2 linked regions of the Cricetulus griseus genome follow. The main gene of each other region encodes a partner of the protein of the gene in region 2 in a complex. Links are inferred from orthologs where the notes say so. Each region holds a gene or a part of one and is shown on either strand. Other genes may lie near its edges.

The links.
Region 1: the proteins of Myo3b (region 2) and espin are in contact, whole or in part, in a crystal structure (PDB 5ET1), measured with the Mus musculus proteins. The link is inferred for Cricetulus griseus from reciprocal best matches to the Homo sapiens genes MYO3B and ESPN. Residues at the interface, in XP_017174528.1 of Mus musculus: Arg1223, Arg1224, Gln1226, Gln1227, Pro1228, Lys1229, Met1230, Leu1231, Ser1232, Ser1233, Asp1236, Thr1237, Met1238, Tyr1239, Tyr1240, Asn1241, Gln1242, Leu1243; in NP_997570.1 of Mus musculus: Leu35, Ala37, His41, Arg45, Ala67, Asn69, Ala71, His75, Asp76, Ala79, Thr80, Asp101, Ser103, Leu110, Arg113, Phe114, Thr135, Thr137, Ala139, His143, Tyr144, Ala147, Thr169, Asn171, Tyr177, Leu178, Gln181, Ala203, Asp205, Met207.

What each region holds. Positions count from the first base shown.
Region 1 is NC_048595.1:4,239,867-4,243,682, reverse strand, and holds part of espin, read right to left. Parts: intron 3,232-3,816; coding exon 3,152-3,231; intron 3,064-3,151; coding exon 3,052-3,063; intron 636-3,051; coding exon 491-635; 3' UTR 1-490. UniProt on the Homo sapiens protein: Multifunctional actin-bundling protein. Plays a major role in regulating the organization, dimension, dynamics and signaling capacities of the actin filament-rich microvilli in the mechanosensory and chemosensory cells.
Region 2 is NC_048599.1:104,748,824-104,752,508, forward strand, and holds the end of Myo3b (myosin-IIIb), read right to left. Parts: coding exon 3,583-3,685; intron 3,209-3,582; coding exon 3,162-3,208; intron 2,255-3,161; coding exon 2,116-2,254; 3' UTR 2,085-2,115; intron 970-2,084; 3' UTR 768-969; downstream 1-767.

The sequences.
Region 1 (3,816 bases), on a different chromosome or scaffold from region 2:
GGGTCGTGGAGCGAGGAAAACCCCTTCCCCGAGCTCGGGGTCTGCCTCCACCCAGGATGCGCTAGCAATGTGGGTTCCGGGCTGCGGGGGAGGGGGCTGCAGGCGGGCTTGCGCCCTGCAGGAAAAGTCACCACCCACGGGCCTGGGGAGAGCTCAGCGCAAGGCAGACGAACATGCAAATATATGTAAGTGAGCATGCAAATAAGCAGCGTCTTTTTTTCTCTCGCTCTTTTTCTTTTCTTTCTTTTTTTTGCGTCAGCGACTTGGGCACTTTTTTTCCAGGCGACAACAGCAGTACGCAAGCACTCCAGCAGCAGGGCTGGGGATATGGGGCCAGGGAGGGGAAACAGGGAGGGTTCCGGCACCGAAGGGAAGGGTGGCAAGGCTCCCAGCCCTTCCGCACCAACCTGACAGGATGGGGCGGGGGCTGGGGGACCGGTCCCCATCTCTCAGAACTTGTGAGGCCACATGCAAAAGGCTGAGACTCCTATTACTTTGGGATCTCCCCCTTCTTCAAGATGACCTGTCGCTGCCAGGGTGCGAGCTTGGCCTCATCGTAGCCTAGTGTCCGCAGCTTCTCGGACTGTTCTTTCGCCTTCTGTATTTCCTCCTGCTTTTGTCGCTCCTCCTCTTTTCTGTTTATGGGTGGCAAAACTCAGTGATGCCTGAGGCCAGGTACTGGGGCCCGGCCAGACACCAGGATGGCAGTGGGACAGAGGAGTTAATGAGAGCAGGGCCTTCTCTGCTTAGGAGCCAGGGTTTTCATGGGGTCGTATTGGAGTTGCAGGGTTACTCAGGAGAGATGGGTAAGTGGAGGCTGAAGTTGGATTGTTTTGCGGAGGAGTGTTACAGGAAAGAGGTGCTGGGTCATTAGGTGACCCTGTGTGAGGATTGAATGTTAAGGAGTTGAGGGGATCAGTGACAGGAGGCCTGACATTGGAGACAGGACTTGAGTTGTTAGGGAGCCTCAATCTAAATTACCAGGGAATAGTGTTGAGCCATTGGGGATCTCATTACTGGGGAACAGGCCAGCAAGCTAGCTAGGGACAGCTTCTCAGAACACAAGGCTAGGGACTGGGGATATAGCTCCCCAGTAGAGTGCTTGCCTAGAACACTCAGCTTTGAGCCCCAACTCGGTGACAGGTCACCACTAATAATATTCCGTTATTGAGCAATTAAACTGTTCAAATTGGCATGCACATGGTATTTTTAAAATCAAGTTTTTTTTTTTTTCTTGGTGTTTTCCTTTCTTTTCTTTTTTGAGACAGGGTTTCTCTGTGTAGCTTTGAAGCCTGTCCTGGCACTCACTCTGTAGGCCAGGCTGGCCTTGAACTCACAGAGATCCACCTCCTGAGTGCTGGGACTAAAGGTGTGTACCACTACTGCCTAACTGGGTTTTTTTTTTTTTTCTTTTAAGGGAAAGAAAAATGTCGTGTGTGTGTGTGTGTGTGTGTGTGTGTGTGTGTGTGTGTGTGTGTGTATGAGAGAGGGGGGGGGCTTTGCTGACAAGGCTGTTTGAACTTTGCTAGAATTAGAGGCCTGTGCCAACACTGCGGGAGTTTGTTATTCTGTTTTCAATTTCATTTAATTGAGTGTGTACAAGCATTTTGCCTGTGTCCATGTCTGTGTATCACATGTATGCCCGGTGCAGAAGGGGGCTGAAAGAAGTCATTGATCCTCTAAAACTGGAATTACAGATGGTTGTGAGCTGCCTTGTGGGTACTGGGAGTTGAACCTGAGTCCTCTGGAAGAGCAACAAGTGTTTTAACTATTGAACCCTCTCTCTAATCCCATGACTCCAGAATTATGCAATACTGGAGACTGATTTTTTTGTTTGTTTGTTTGTTTTTCGAGACAGGGTTTCTCTGTGGCTTTGGAGCCTATCCTGGAACTAACTCTTGTAGACCAGGCTAGTCTCAAACTCACAGAGATCCACCTGCCTCTGCCTTCCGAGTGCTGGGATTAAAGGCGTGCACCACCAATGCCCAGCAGCTTCTTTTTTTCTTGCATGCCGGGCAAGCACTCCACCGACTGAGCCAAATGCCTAGCTCTCATTAATAATTACTCTCAATACATTTTCTACATTAAGTTAAAGTATTAAAATTAAACTTACCTATATCTTATAAAATTTTCTCACAAAATTTAAAATTATGTAAGTGTTGCCCATTGTACTTCTGCCTGGCAGTAGATAGATTCCTGGGTACAGAAATTAAGTTGAGGGGAAATGATCAAGTTTGTTGATCTTTGGTTAAAATAACTGTCCTTGGGGCTGGAGAGATGGTTTATCAATTAAGATCGTGTACTACTCTGCAGAGGACCCAGGTTGGATTCCCAGCACCCACACTGGGTAGCTCATAACCACTTGTAACTCCAGCTCCAAGGGAATATGACACCTCTGGCCTCCATAGGCACCTTCACACATGTGTACTTACCCACACACAGACACGCAGACACACACAAAATTTTTGTTTGTTTTTCAAGGCAGGGCTTCTCTGTGTAACAGTCCTGGCTGTCCTAGAACTCACTGTGGTAGACCAGGCTGGCCTCGAACTCACAGAGATCCACCTGCCTCTGCCTCCCCAAGTGCTGGTACTAAAGGTGTGCGCCACTGCCACCTGGCTGACATACACATAATTAAAACAGAAAAACCAGCACTGTAGGATAGCAAGGGTAGGCTTTTGTTTTGAGACAATGTCACCTGTAGGCCAGGTTGGCCTTGAATTGACTGTTAAACCAAGATAATCTTGAACTCCTAACCCTGCCTATACCCACTAAGTGGGATTATAGGTTTGTCATCACAGTGGGTGAAAGCAAGATTTAATGATAGAAGATGGCGGAGGAGGGCCTGGGTAACTTAAGAATGTGATCAGAGCATGAGCAGTAGACTTTGAGGGGTGGGTGCTAAACAACTAAGGGTCTATGTCACTATTGGGAACTGAAAGTTTATGGTACAGGGACTGAAAGCATGGGCTGGATGAAGGAGTAAAAGAGATAAGCCTCTGTGACTGGGTGTAGGAAGAAGTAGCGGGTTTGGGCCAGTACCATACTTACCGCTTCTGCTCCCTGGAATGAGAAAGAGACAGTATTAGATGGCATCACAACCCCAGAGTCAAGATGCACGCCCGCCAAGCAGCCTCCACCAGGTGCTCACCGCTCCTCCTCCAGCTTCTTCCGAAGAATGTCTCGCCTCCAGGCAGGCAGGTTGGCCAGCCGAGCCTCCTGCTCTTCCTCCTAAAACACAACCACACAGCCAGCTTCAGGACCAGCTTGCCTGAGATTTGCAGGCCAGGGGCATGCACTTCCAGCCCGGGAGACATGGAGAACTCAGGGACAGCAGAATATGGATGCGTTAAGACCCTCTAGGTGACCTCCTATGGTGCAGATAATGGTACTTGGTGATGGCCTGCTCAGAAGGGGCCTTCTGAGTGACCCGACCAGTGACCCGACCAGTATCCTAAAGGTGAAGCCAGATAGATCACAGGGAGGGAAAAAGGAAGATGCAGAAAAGTTACTGGGTCCTGATTCCCCACAAAGCAGGTGGCTACATGGCCCCACGTCTGTCTTCCAGAATTTCTAGGCAGATACATCTCAGGCAGACCCAGGCTGCACTGGATCTGCTATGGAGGACCTGCTGGGCCATGCTTGCTCTTTTCTTAGTGGAATGGGGTGGGGTGTGGTGTGCTCCATACTTGGGGCTATGATGATCCGGGGAGAGGGGCACCAACACAGCCTACAACAGTGCTTTATTCCTTGGAGGCAACAGAATAGAAAGGGTCTGTGCACATCACACACCACACACAATACTGCACAGGTGGC
Region 2 (3,685 bases):
TTAGGCAAATACTCTATCACAGAATCACTCTAAGCATTATTTCTTAAGCTCTATTCTCACACCATATAAACATTACCTTTTTAAATGAAGATCTGAAAAAACCCCAAGACATATCTTTTTTTAAAAAAGCACAATGTAGCAACTAAAACTGTCTGTAGCTATTTCTTGTACCATTATAACTTCTGAGCTCTTTTCATGTCTCTCTTGTGGAGCTCTGTTCTCTGGACATGGTATAGCCATTGCCATCTTGGATTCAAGGCAAGACAGCACTCACTAATGTTTCCTTGTGGAAATGTAAAAAGTGTGCAAGACTATATACAGGGCCCTACCTCTCCGTGAGGGTTTAGCTGTTGCTATAGGGGGTATTCTTTGGTGGTAAAATTGTCTCTAAATTGCCCATGCCTCTGTAGGCAGCCCTTTACCCATGCTCCTGTCTGTAACCCCAATTGTTCCCTTTTTGGATTTATTTATTTATTTTATTTTATATGTATGAGTGTTTCTGTTGAAGTGTGTATATGCATCACATGTGTGCTTTGTTCAGAAGAGAGCGTCAGATCCCCTGGAACTGGACTTATCTATTTGTAGGCCAACATGTGGGTGGGTGCTGGGAACTGAACCAGGTCTTCTGCAAGAACAAGTGCTCTTGCCTGGAAGTAGTGGTGCACACCTTTAATCCCAGTACTTGAAAGGCAGAGACGGATGAATTTCTGAGTTCGAGACCAGCCTAGTCTACAGAGTGAGTTCCAAGATGGCCAGGACTACACAGAGAAACCCTGTCTTGAAAAACAAAAAGCAACAATAACAAAACAACAATAAAAGAGCAAGTGCTCTTAACTTCTGTTTCATCCTTCCTGCCTCAGGAAGCCCAGTTAAACCCCCTGGTTCAAGAAGCTAGACTTGGGTGGATTCTTCTCTTCGGTCTGTCACTGTTGTCTTGTCTGGGGTGTGCAGAGGTTTGTTCACGTCTCCCTGGGGAAAGTTAACACACCAGCTTCACTTAATTGTTTCTCTTCACAAATACTTACAGTGCCCCCCATTAAAGAGAAAAACCTCTGATAATATTTTTCTAAGACCTTTAAAGTCTTTTTCTCAAATTAACTAAGGATTTTAGAGAAAGAAAATATTAAGAGCATCTGCTCTAGAGGAGTCTTTGATGAGGTTGTGCTTTTACAGCACACAGCAGCTTTCCACATTGTTTTACACAGAATCCGTGCTTAAGAAAGCTGCTCATATTGAATTGTACTGAGTATGACACTGTATAATGCCATTACAATTACAATAAGAACAGCTCAACCTTGGGCAAAACATCAGAGCTTCCTTATATATAAGAAAGTGGTTACTCATCTGTCACATATCAGTAACTCCCCTGCCAGTCATGCTGCTCTAAATAAATTCATTCTTATGCACTGGGTGTCCACTCACCTAGGCCCTGAGCTAGGTCTGAGAAACACAGAGATGGACAAGATGAAATCTGTCCCCTCACAGCCTATGGAGACAGCTGACTGGGGAAATCAGGTGGCCTGCACTTGCACAGGCCCAAATTCTCACTCCACATTCTGCTTTCCAAGGCTGGAGTGATGGGCTTATCTTGGCAAGCATGAAGAAACAGTCAGAGACTATCTCAACATAACAGCATGCAACAGAGGCATTCACTTGCCCCGTAGAAAGGCTCTGAAAGACTTTGACTCCTGCATCTAAACAGACTACTCTTCCTGGAAACAGTGCACTCGGCAGTGAAGCCCTGATCCTGGGGAAGCAGATATAGAAAGCCCAGCAAAGTGGGTGGGAGTTGAGAAGAGCAGGAAGGAGATTGCTGGATTCCTCTGGGGGGCGGATAGACAAGTTATCAGATTCCACAGTTGGCCTGTGGTGGGACTGTCCACCCTGACTGCATTGACAAGGCAGGGATGAAGAGAACAGGGGTTCCACGATTCAGGCTGCAGGGCAGGTGAAGGGGATCAAGAGACAGAATCTTCAGGGATCTGTGAGTTGTTCAGCAAGGTTGAGGCAAGGCTCTGTCCAAGGAAGCTGACCCCATGACAGTGATTTCCTATTAGGTGATCAGTTACCACAATTGCTTCTACCTGGGGCACATTTGGGGCTGGGAAGCACAGCTCAGTGTTGAGCAACGGAGTCTCCTCTGGGTGATGAGGGGGAAAAAAAAGTGTGGGATGAGTCATTTTCCTCAGGGGCACAGGTCTCAGGGGAGAGGCATTTGTAGTATTGGTCTTCCCCATCCAGCACTTTAATTTGTCTGCAAGAGAGAAAGGAGGATTTTCTTCTTTTTTTTTTTTTAATTTTATTCTTTTATTAGTTCAAATTAGGAACAAGCTTGCTTCAGATGTCAATCCCTTCTCTCTCTCCCTCCCCCACCCAACATCCCACCTGCCCCTAACCATCCCCCCTCTACTCCCCAGGCAGGGTAAGGCCCTCAAAAGGGGCTCCCCAAAGTCTACCACATCAAGAAAGGAGGATTTTCAACAGGAGATATCAAACAGATACCATGATCATCCCTGTTGAACCTAAAGTTGTAGGGGGAGGGAGTGGGTGTTGGATCAGGTCTACACCTTGATGAAGAAGATTTTCACTTTTCTGGGCCGAGGTAAGTAGTACCTAAAAGTTGTGGTCATATTGTAACTTGAGTTTTATATAGTCGTCTGTCTCCATCTGTGTCCTCTAGAAACAGTTCTGCTCCTGACCTCCCTCAGTTCAGAACAGTGCCAATACCCTTCTGGTCTCCACTGTGATGCCGACAAACGAAAGGACCAGGCACTCCTCATCATTCCTTGCAAGTGTGAAGCCCAAGGAAATATTAAACATGGAGAGAGTGCCTATTTACACGTGGGAAAGTGCTCTTGCTTGTGGAAGGAGAGTTTTGTACAACTCACAACCAGTCCCATTCCCATTCCTTGGCATGCTAAGGAGAAATAACATTTGTCTTAGGTGACAATTTCAACCTTTCTGGACAGAACGGATTCAAGTTTTGTGTGCTTGCTACTGTGAAAAAGAATTGCTGGTGCCAATAACCGTGGCAATATCCGCAGGGGGTGGGTGGGGGGACTATTTTTAGAAGGCTCCCTGGAAAGTTTGGCCTTTTCTGTGATATCACAAAGGACCCCTTCTGTTTACAGTTGCTGGAAACTAAGAAGACAGATATTTACCCAAGTTTTCTTGGCTTCCTCTGGCTCCCTTGATATTCTAGAGTTCCCTGTGGATAGGGCCAAGAACACACAGTCAAAGCAAAGCACCAAGTCGTTAATTTTTAATTCAAAGTGATTTTGTGTTGAATGCAAGCAGATGCTGATAATATCAGAAGTCACAGCATAATTTTTTTGATCAAAGGGCTCAAGTGAGCCTGATGAAGCATGCATCTTGCTCGTCTTTGATAAACCACATCAATTATTCACCGTGAAGGCAGACATCCTGACATGAAAGCAACAGATAAAGAGCCTAAGCACATGTTCACGAGGAGAGCAGAAGAGAGTGGGGGTGGGGCTGGAGGGGCTGGAACAGGTATTAATAACAGAATTATTAACTGGAAACAAAGCCGGTAAAACGGCTTTACGGCCACTTTGAACTCACGTTTAACTGGTTATAGTACATGGTGTCCTCAGGGCTACTCAACATTTTGGGCTGCTGACACCGTCTGCGAGGTGCTCGCTGCTTCTGGGAGAGCCCATCTTTT